Linked DNA regions of Neurospora crassa OR74A. The protein of the gene in region 1 interacts with the protein of each later gene in a pairwise test. Links are inferred from orthologs where the notes say so. Each region holds a gene or a part of one and is shown in the gene's direction. Other genes may lie near its edges.

Region 1 (4,962 bases):
TCGACCCCGGAAACCCGCCTGAACTCGTGGCCGACGACGGTTCCTCGCCGAATGACGAGGATTTCGTCTTCCCATGGTGCGAGGATCCTGCCAAGGTTCGGATTCAGCCTATTGCCAAAGAAGTCATGGAGCCCTCTGGTCTTGGTGGAGTACTTCCTGACGACCATTTTGTGATGCTCGTCACCACTCGCCGCGTCGTCAGACCTATCCTGCAGCGGCAGTTGTCACGCTCGACAACATCGGAAGATACGGCCGAATTCATCGCCGAACGCTTGGCAGCGATAAGAACGTCGTCGCCTCTGCCTCCTCGCAGTCACAGGCTGACTGTCGCGCCGTTGCAGGTTGAATACGTCTCTGGGCAATTCCGTCGGCTGAATCCAGCCCCACTCCCTCCTCCGGCGATTTTCTATCCCCCGTTCAGTACCGATTCCAGCTGGGACGATGGCGATGATCTAGCTTCTGACGATGAAGAAGTGGAGGAGGTGGAGGAAGATTCTTACTCTGAGGGGCAGATCTCGCGCCGAGCAAATCCTCATTTCTCGGACAACAACACGTACATGCGGAAGGACGATTTGGCGTTCGATACCGAGACTGATGTGCGGATGGACAGCGACGACAATCGCTTGTCGGACAGCGGCCACAACATGCGGGCGATGATGCCGCGGGCAGAAGCGGTGGATGGGGACGACAGCCCATTGGCAGCCGTCACCGGAAAAGAGGTGGACATGCTGCACACTGGCAGCTCGGTTGCAACCGCTGGTGGGGCAGAGAGTGGCTATAGTAGTTCGATGGAGGACGTCTCATCCTCGTGAGACCTGAGTGGGTATTTTTCCTATGTGAGAAGAAGACGCGGGGAGCATACGAGAGCAAAAGGAACGCATTGCGGCTGGTGTCAGGAAATCAGGTACCGGTGTTCTCGAATTTTTGGCTTTGGCGGGCAAGCGGGTTGTTTCGAGCGCGCGGGTTCTTGGCTTTTGCCATTTTCAGGGGAGTTGCAATTGTCGCTTTTCGGGGACTCGATACGCATGATGGATATCCAACGAAGGTGATTGCCGGGTGAGGGATCTGGATCCCATGAATGGGGCGGCCATGGGTGGTGGGTGGTGGGTGGAGGGAGGGGGTGTTGAGTTGGGGACTTTTTGGGGCGTCTGGGTTAGTGTTGTTTGGATTTCAAACGGTGTGGCTTTTGGGTTTTTTTCTCTGGCTATTTTTTTATGGGGGGTTTTATCTTTCTTCTTCATCTTTTTATTTCTGATATTTTTTTCTTGGCTTCCTTGTAGATGACTCCGTGTGCAGAAAAAAACATACCTGTTTTTTTAAATTCGTATCAACGATTCGCAGTAGTAGCAGAAGGCCGGTGACATCAGTCGCAACGGGTGCACCCGTAAAATAAGGATTGGACTTGGTGGTAGGTCTGATGGGGCATGTAGTGTATATAGGATTTCAAAGTGAATCGATCACTAGTCCCGGTTCGTTGTCTCCACGATGGCCTCGCTGCCGGAACGTTTTGATGATCGAGCGGTAATCGTGGATCCCTAGGTCGGGCGTAAGACCCTCAGCGCATTATCAGCAAGCCCCTGATTAATCCAACGCTGGGCGGGCTACACAGACAGTATCAGGGTCGTCATCACAGTCCAACGGTCGGTTGTTTGTTAGCATGGGTCTTCTGATGAAGCCATCGCCAGCAGTACCATAGCACACAAAAAGACATGTACAAATATCTCAATCCAGGAAAAGACACGTCAAAAAACGAGGGCTTCACATGATCGTTTTGATTCCAAGCCTTCCCGATCCAGTGAAGCACATATGCTTGGATTCACCCGCCCAGAAACTCCCTTGACTCAAGGTCTCTCACTACCTAACAAAACTTTCCAGAGGTGAATTGTACTGTACGCGGGCAGGGGCCTGCCCCACCTTAATGAAATCGATTCGACCGGACTCCTGGCTGCAGGCGGGGGAGCGAGCTCAGCGAGGTGCGGGCGGGCAAGTCAGCCCTTGGGGTTCCATCCATGACCATATCGCACCTACCTCTACCTACGGCCCTACCTACCTACGTAAACAACGAGCTCGGCGCCAACCGAGGCACGCAAGTGGAAGCTCCCCGCCTTGATCGGTCTTTTCCTTTCCCCCTTACAACCCGACATGTAAGGTCCATACTCAGAATGGCAACCAAAGGAAAAGAAGTAGAAACTGCGGGTCGGTAAGTCAGTCCCAGTTGAACTACCTACTTACCTTACCTTACCTTACCCTACCTTGGCCAAGCATCAGAGCTTATGTTGGTGGTGACAGGACAAAGCAACGTCTTGCCCCTCTTGAACGACGAGTCTCATGTCATCACCCCTAACTTCAACAGTCGGACATGGCTCGAAGTATTCCTCATTGCTAGCATAGCCTAGCCTAGCCTAGCCTACCTATAGAAACACAAAACAAGCTGACCTGCTGCTCCCGCGTTCCGCCAAACCTACAGTGATGCCACGCCCGCGAACCCCCGAGGTATCCCCCAGGCGCCCTTCGTCGACAAGGTCGAGGACTATGTCACGTCTCGCGCGGATGTCGAACCCACCCTGAGGCGGTTCCAAGAGTTGATTGCCAAGTACCAATTCATGGAGCAGAACCTCCAGCGACGGGTGGTGGGCTTGAAGGATAAGATGCCGGATATCCAGAAGACGCTGGACACGGTGCGGTTCCTGCAGATGAGAAAGGTACGACACACACACACGCACACACGCACACACACCTCCGTCTTCAGGGCACGCGAACATACGGGCTATACAGCTAGCTATACAGCGGGCACAATACCAAATGCGCCCGGGGCGGGGGGAAAGGGTAATTGAGAACCAAAGGTCAAGGACGAGCATGAACAACAAGGACGTGGATTGATGTATGGATGGATGGACGAAGATACGGTCGCACACGAACAAGACACGCTGACAAGATCACCTTTTTACTTTGTCTGTTTTACAGGACGAATCAGACCCGATCGAAACCACATTCGAGCTCAACGAGACTCTCTACGCCCAGGCCAAGATCCCACCCACGGACGAGGTGTACATCTGGCTCGGCGCCAACGTCATGCTGTCGTATCCCATTGAGGAGGCCGAGCAGCTGCTTGACTCGAAGCTCAAGGCGGCGACGCAGAGCTTGCAGAACTGCGAGGAGGATCTGGATTTCTTGAGAGAACAGATTACGGTACGTGTTGGGCGGAGAACGCGAAGATGGTAGTTCTGTTACCGATCTTGGAACCTTGACTGACCTGAACGATGCGCCATAGACGATGGAAGTTGCGGTTGCCAGAGTGTACAACTGGGACGTCGTGCAGAAGAGGAAAGAGAAGGAGGAGGAGGAGAAGACAAAAGGAAAGAAGAGCGAGACGGCGTCGGACGGTTGAAGAGGAGATTAGGTCTAATACAGAAAGCGAGGAGATAATGCACCATCACGAAATGCCATGGGAGCGAACGACGGTTGAAGAATGTCTAATAGAGGGAGGCCGGCCGAGGTTGCTGCTGGCCGCGATCATGTGAGACGAGGTTCACGATGGCTTGGTAAGTTGGACTTGATTTGAAAGCAACATGATAGCGAACGATACCTCACAGATATTCTGCGTCGTATTACGCTCAGTAGCCATTTGTTCACGAGACAAAGGAACAAGGGCCACGCAAGCGGTTTGTCGTTTTGGAGAGACTGAAGTGGGACTGGCGAGATGAGGTTCGCTCTGGCCTAGGTCAAGGCTACGACCTCGAGAGATTAAAGAGAATTTGAGTTTGGCGGCCTCCAACGCCCATAGCCTCATGATCAAGGCACGATGATGACTTTTTATATTTCCCGCCCGGGTTCTTGGTTGTGATGGAAGTTACTGTCTATCACTTGGCTACAAGAGAGATCGACGCTATGGCTCATTGTTTAGATTGTCACGATACCTACCGCAAACATACACCGAGATAGCCTTACAACGTTACCAAAAGCCAATCCGAGGAGATCACGTGGCTGAGGGGGCGAGTTTGTCTGGTTGAGTTGTAGTGTAGTCGCGGATCGATCGTCGCCATCGTTTATCAAGTGGTGTACATACCCAAGTCTTATCCAGTCGAGACAGTCAGATGGGCGGGGGGCCAATGCGCATGTAGGCAGGGCGCTCGGGCGGCCGTTGACCTGTCTGTTTCGCTGTCAGTGTTTTGTCAAAAGTGAGCCACCCCCGCCCCCCTGGAAACTGAAACCCCTATTTCGGGAGTGAGGAAGCACATCTGTGGTCTTGACCGCCATGACGACGGCATTCGTTTCGGAGACGGGGTCCCGAGTCTTTTGACTCTGTCTCTGTTTGGTACGGCGGCAGGCGAACGGCAGACCAGGCCCGACCTGAATACTGGATGAGGTGCCCTGCGCCAACAGCAGAAAGCAGCTTAGCGGATGGGGCCCCAACGTCGGGTCCCAAGCGGGCAGGCGGCCCCCAGGGGCAGGCGGAATCTCAGGGGCCCCGGCCCTCTGCAACGGAACCCCAATTAAACGATCTCCATCACGGGCGGGCTCCGGCCTCCTTCCCCTTCCTGCCTGCCTGCCTGCCTTGACTCTGTAGACTCAACTGTGTACCCTTTCCCCTTCGGATCAACCCTTTTTGCCACGACTCAGCTGCGTTATCCATCTCCTATAACGCTACCTTACTTTCCAAGTTTGTACACATCATTGTCGTCTCTTCATTGTCTCCTGCCTCAGCTTCATAATACCCAACCCCAACCCCCCCGCTTCAGCCTACCTACCTACCTACGACCTCTACAACACCACAACCGCCAACATGGAGCTTGAACCCAAGTACGACGACTATGACTACCCTACCACCGCGCCCGACGCGCAGGAGGGCCACCCCGGCCATCTGACTCCCCAGCAGCAGGCCCAGGTCACTCAGCTTCGTCTGATGCTGGAGTCTGAGGGCTACACCAAGCGCCTCGACACCCTTACACTGGTATGCAATAT
Region 2 (5,251 bases), on another chromosome or scaffold:
CCATAGCGGCGTCCTTCTCGTCGCGCTCCTGCAGATCTCCGATGTCGCGCAACATTTCCTTGGTTCCGAATAAGACGTCCCACGATGCCACACCCCCTATAACGCCGTTTTGCCTGACCAGCCGAAGGATGACCTCGGTCAAAGAAACTATGTCAGCGGTTGCCAGAACCCCAATAACACCCTCGTGGTCGCAGTACCGAGCAAGATCGCCGCTATAGGTCAAATCTCCCGCCGCGGACAGGAGCTTTGCAATTGTCATCAGTGTTTTGACCCTGAAAGGCGTGAATGATGCCGGGTACTTGAAGGGATAGCATTCCAACGCCATGAAGCAGTGTAGAGGAAGCGCCTTGGCTAGCGTAGTACGGTTAGAACCCAGCATGGTAGCTATCCTGAGAATCGTGGGAGGAAGGGGATCGAGAGCCCACAGCTGGGCATCCCTGAGAGGTTTGCAAAGTTCCCACTGGGCTCGCGCATTCTCCATAGGATCCCCCTGAACAATGCAAGTCAACTCCATACACTTCCAGTGTATTTCCTCGATCTTTGACTTTGGTACTGTCTTTGACCTTTCGATATAAGCAGGAACCAGGCTGGCGACATCCGGCTGGAAACTGGAGGAGTTGAGCCACTTGACACCCGGGGAAACCCCGCAAGCCTGAATAACTTCGTAGGCATTCAAATCCTCTTTGCAACGAATACAATTGCACTGGAAGTGATAGAGTCGAAGACTCTCTTGCCTTGCACGGCGAGGCATAGTGTGATCTGGCTGGCAAGTTAGAAGACGAGAAAACCCTCGCTTGCGAAAGGAATTACCATACCGATATATGAAATCAGAATCTCGTCGCCCGGTTCAAGATCCCTCTCCGCCTTGAGAAAGGCCTTGCGCTTCTCGAAAGCGATGTAGGCGTTCGGAACACAAGAGTGATTAACCATAGAAAGACTAGGGTGAAGATAGATGCCCGCCTGTCCCGTGTCGGCATCAAACCTGTTGAACGCATTCGTTTGGATCTAAGGTCGCCGCACTAGTCAGTTCACATCACACGTCGATACCCAGACTTCCACATCAAACTCACCTTGCACAAAACCTCCATAGCCTGCTTCAACGTCTCATCACTCTGCAACAAACCCGCATAAACCACCGCCCCCGTAGCCTGTAATTCGAAATCACCCCACAAGCCCTCATCAGTCTTGAACCCCTCCACATTACTCTCCAACGTACCACCAGGCCCAAACGCCTTGACAGTCTCCTCATCCCCAGCCTTCAACAACAGCATCACCTGCGCCACCGCCCTCACGGGAGTCGGCAACCAGTCCTTGCCCGTCCGCTCCTGGATTCGCTTGAACATCTTGCATTCGGCCTTATGCACCAGCTTCCAGTGCGCCCGCTGGCACTCGGCGTTGCAGTACACGGCCGCCTTGCAGCCCGTGCACGCCTTGCACGTCCGGGCCCCCGCTTCCACATCGCCCTCGAACTCGATCGTCCCGCTGACATAGAGGCAGTAGTTGCAGGTCGTCCGCATGTTGGCGTCGTCTGGGAGAGCGAGCAAGGGGTTTTCGATGATGGCGATGGTTTCGCCGGCGCCGAAGCGCTCCGTGGAGAAGAGGCTGCGGCCCCGGTCGACGCCGGGGATGCCGCCGATGCGGGTTTTGGGGATGGGAGATGGCAGTGAGGGCGCCATGATGGTGGTGCTTCTCTGCGAGTTTGGGTTGGGGTTTGTTGATGAGGTGAAGAAGAAATTCGGGTGTTTGTTTGTTAGAGGTTGCTGGGGTGACCGTTCTTATGTGTAACGCGAAAAGTTGAGGTGCCACCCGTTGATAGTGGCAACCGACGAGAAAGTTTGAAGAGAGCGAGAAGGATAAAATGCTGTTTCCAGTACAGTTTTCCGTTATACTCAACCCAGTAAGCCGCTTCGCCGTGTATTTCTCTTGGAACAAGATGGTCAGTTCGAGGATTGGCTCCTCAATGGACCTATCTATGTTGTCGAGGAAAAGTGAGAAGATGGTTGTCAGGAGAAAGTCAAGTCACTGTTTACTCGGTACTACATACCTAGGATCTCGGGCATGTACCCCGCCTGCAGCGAACAGGGGAAAGCGACGAAGCGACCCCTGGAAGCCCGCAAAATTCTGCCCCACAGAGCTGCTCTCATAGCGGGGCAACCACCTCCACGCACTACCTCTATCGTTGCTGCCGGCCCTCGTGGCCGCCCGATCAACTGGAACTGAACCTCGTTCAAACATCACATTCGGTTTTGTGAATTAGACACTCTTACATCTAGCCCATTCCTCTCTCGATTACAAACGAATAAGAAAGCGTAAAGATGTCTGGCAAGCAAGAAGGAGGTAAGTATCTCCCCTTTCACCGCTGCCCGCTCCTTTGAACCTTGCAAGCTCCCACTCATTCAAGGGAGCTTCATGTTCGCTCCTCCTCTAAAGCTCAATCAAGCTTCGAGCTCAAGCTTCACCTTACCTTCCCCATCCCCCCCCCTGGTCACCTCCCGCACTCATCTCACCCCCTTTAGTCCACACCATGATGCCGCCCCCATTCCCCGTTTGATGTTTCAATGTGTGGCAGTCACTAACAGACCTTCCCAGTCAACATTGAGAGCCTCAGCGCTCAACAACTTACCGCCGTCAAGCAGCAGCTAGACGAGGAGGTCGAGCACCTGACGGCCTCGTACACGCAGCTAGCTGCGGCGCAGGCCAAGTTCAAAGAGTGCTTGCGAATCGTGCAGACAGGAAGCAGTTCTTTTGATGGTATGTTTAGTTGACCTGTTTCCTTCATTTTTCTTTCATCTTGATGTGGTAGATGAGATGGGGTGGATCGTCTATGAGTATATTCGAAGGGCCGGGAGTTTGGGGGATGGGGATGGATTTTGTCAAGCTTCCACTTGACGGTCAACCTCTTCGTGAGCTTTTGTCTCATTCTCTGATGTGACCCGATGAGCTATCCCTTTTTTTCTCCAGTCCTCTTCATCCCACTTACAACCATAACAAACGTCTACACCTCATTTTACTTTTATCTACTCATCTCATGGCGGTGATGTCGCCATCCTCCACCTCCCCACGCCTCATATCTCCCATCCTCATATCCGATCAACACCCTTTCTTCCCACCTGCTGTTCCACCACGCCCATCCTACAATTCCATTCCCTTCATCCCGACCCAAGCCCAGCCGAACGCCTACCCTCCAGTCATGGTCACCGCTGACAACAAGACCCCATTCAACAGACAACAAAGACATCCTCGTGCCCCTCACCAACTCCCTCTACGTCAAGGGCAAGCTCTCCAACCCCGACCGCGTGATCGTCGATGTTGGTACTGGGTTCTACGTCGAAAAGGTACGTCTCTCCGCCACGAACGGCACTACATGTTATTAACTCGAAGCGTTCAGGACACCAAAAGTGCCACTGATTTCTACGATGCCAAGGTCAAGGAACTTGGCGCCAACATTCAGAACTTGGAAGCCATTGTCCAGGGAAAGACTAACAACCTCCGCGTGGTGGAAGAAGGTACGGCATTCTCCTCTTTTTCTTGAGCTGTCCGTGCATTTCAGCCATGGCATTGTTACTAACAAGAATCAACATCTAGTCTTGAGGCAGAAGGTGCTGGCACAAGGAGCTGGACCTGCATCGGCACAGGCATAGTGGAGAATCTGACTTGTTATTGTGTGATTAAGCGAAGCAAAAAAAAACAAACAAAAAACGACAAAAATACAACTTGGGCACAGCTACTTGGTGTATGTCCTCGATCTCCTTGAATACGCGTTGAGCCATTGACGATTATTATGACGACACACCCATGTATTCGAAGAACCGTTCCGCGACCTTGAGCTCAGCAGCCAAACATCACTACTTCAGCTCTTAATACCTCACCACGACAACTTTCCATCTACAACTGCTGATAGCCCGCGTCTGTCTATACAGTTCTTTCCAGCACCGTTTGGACCTTTCCAACCCAGTGCAATAAGGCATCAAGCGGGTCAAGATCCCTAGTGGGGTCAGCGGATGACATGGATGACTTGAAGAACTGTTCTGGAAACGCTTCCCAGGACCGCGGTCCGGCTGAAACGTCAGCATTGGCCATGTGGTCGTCCCACTCCGGTCGATACATGCTGACGCTCACACCAGCGACGGGCTCTTGAGGCTGTCGGCTCTTGGTGCCCGAGATAGTGCTCCACTGCCGGTACAGGGAAAGCTCAACGATGTAGTCCTTGTTGAGGTAATAGGACCAGGTCGTCTTGCCAATGAGAGCCTCAATATGGTGTTTCTGTGCGAAGGACGCCGCAATGTGAGGCTCAATACAACGGGTGTTCTCATTGTGACGAATCCTGATGCCCTTGCTCAGTGTATGTTGATCGAGTGGGAGCTTATTGCCGGTCTCATCGATGGGAGACTCGACTTTCAAGACCCAGTCGTGATTTCTGGGATGTGTTAGTTTGGCAAGGAAGTGAGAAAGATGCCGACTTACTTGTCAGGGCATGCTGTGGCAAGTTCGACACTACGGTGGCTCTTCTCTCGATGGAAGACGTTCAATGAGCCGAAAGTAAAACCACAGATTTGATTTTTATCGACGCTCACTTCCAGGTTGACATTTTTCGTCGTCACAATCACAAAGTTTTCTATGCCTTGGGGGCCTTCAAAGTCTGGATCGAGGGAGAAGGCATGTTGAATCTTTTCGCGCATTGATTCACCACCCAGTCTGAGCAGTGTTAGACATTAATCGCCTGGGAAAGCGACCAGAAAAAGGAGAACCAGAAGGGAAGACCAGAGTATACACTTACCTCATCTCCATGTAAGAAGTCCCTCTGCTGCTCACCCTGCGAGCCAACTTCGAGAACTCATCGAGCGTATAGCTCGTAGTACCCCGCTTGCGTTCTTTGAAGAACAGTTTGCCGAAAGCGATCTGCATGCGCATCCTATTGGGACAATACCGCAAGCCATCACCCACGCGGACCATCGCAGCAGCAAGATCGCTCTTGTAAGCTTGGACAGCCAAAGCATCGGCCACCTCAGTAGAGTCGGTGAGTGTCGCGGCTGGTCGAAACCATGTGGTTTCAGGGCTGTCCTGGAGAAGTATCCGTATGACACGCTTGTCGCTGCTGGGCGGAGCCACAAGTACTGAATCTCGCCAGACTGTCGCATGCCCTTCACGGAGCATCAAGCTCCTCAAGATGCTGCGTATGGCCGCCTGGGCGTTCTTGGGAGAAGCAGCGGAGATCTGGATGGGATCCTCCTGTGCTTTGAGGCAGATCCTG

The links. The genes of interacting proteins can lie anywhere in the genome.
Region 2: the proteins of NCU02264 (region 1) and NCU02963 interact in binary tests that used the Saccharomyces cerevisiae proteins (3 or more experiments, as listed by UniProt). The link is inferred for Neurospora crassa OR74A from reciprocal best matches to the Saccharomyces cerevisiae genes PAC10 and GIM5.

The regions. Positions count from the first base shown.
Region 1 is NC_026507.1:3,135,351-3,140,312, forward strand, and holds NCU02264 (prefoldin subunit 3), read left to right. Parts: upstream 1-1,982; 5' UTR 1,983-2,009; coding exon 2,010-2,200; intron 2,201-2,467; coding exon 2,468-2,702; coding exon of another isoform or gene 2,703-2,834; exon of another isoform or gene 2,835-2,881; intron 2,882-2,964; coding exon 2,965-3,189; intron 3,190-3,271; coding exon 3,272-3,388; 3' UTR 3,389-3,972; downstream 3,973-4,962. Other genes in the region: period clock protein FRQ, read left to right, coding at 1-812; NCU02263 (Sec14 cytosolic factor), read left to right, coding at 4,784-4,951. UniProt on the Saccharomyces cerevisiae protein: Binds specifically to cytosolic chaperonin (c-CPN) and transfers target proteins to it. Binds to nascent polypeptide chain and promotes folding in an environment in which there are many competing pathways for nonnative proteins.
Region 2 is NC_026501.1:8,561,228-8,566,478, reverse strand, and holds NCU02963 (c-myc binding protein), read left to right. Parts: upstream 1-2,163; 5' UTR 2,164-2,315; coding exon 2,316-2,337; intron 2,338-2,589; coding exon 2,590-2,751; intron 2,752-3,225; coding exon 3,226-3,335; intron 3,336-3,388; coding exon 3,389-3,506; intron 3,507-3,585; coding exon 3,586-3,641; 3' UTR 3,642-3,912; coding exon of another isoform or gene 3,913-4,324; 3' UTR 4,325-4,464; downstream 4,465-5,251. Other genes in the region: NCU02962 (hypothetical protein), read right to left, coding at 1-759, 816-1,005, 1,071-1,676; NCU02964 (hypothetical protein), read right to left, coding at 3,913-4,324, 4,465-4,695, 4,778-5,251.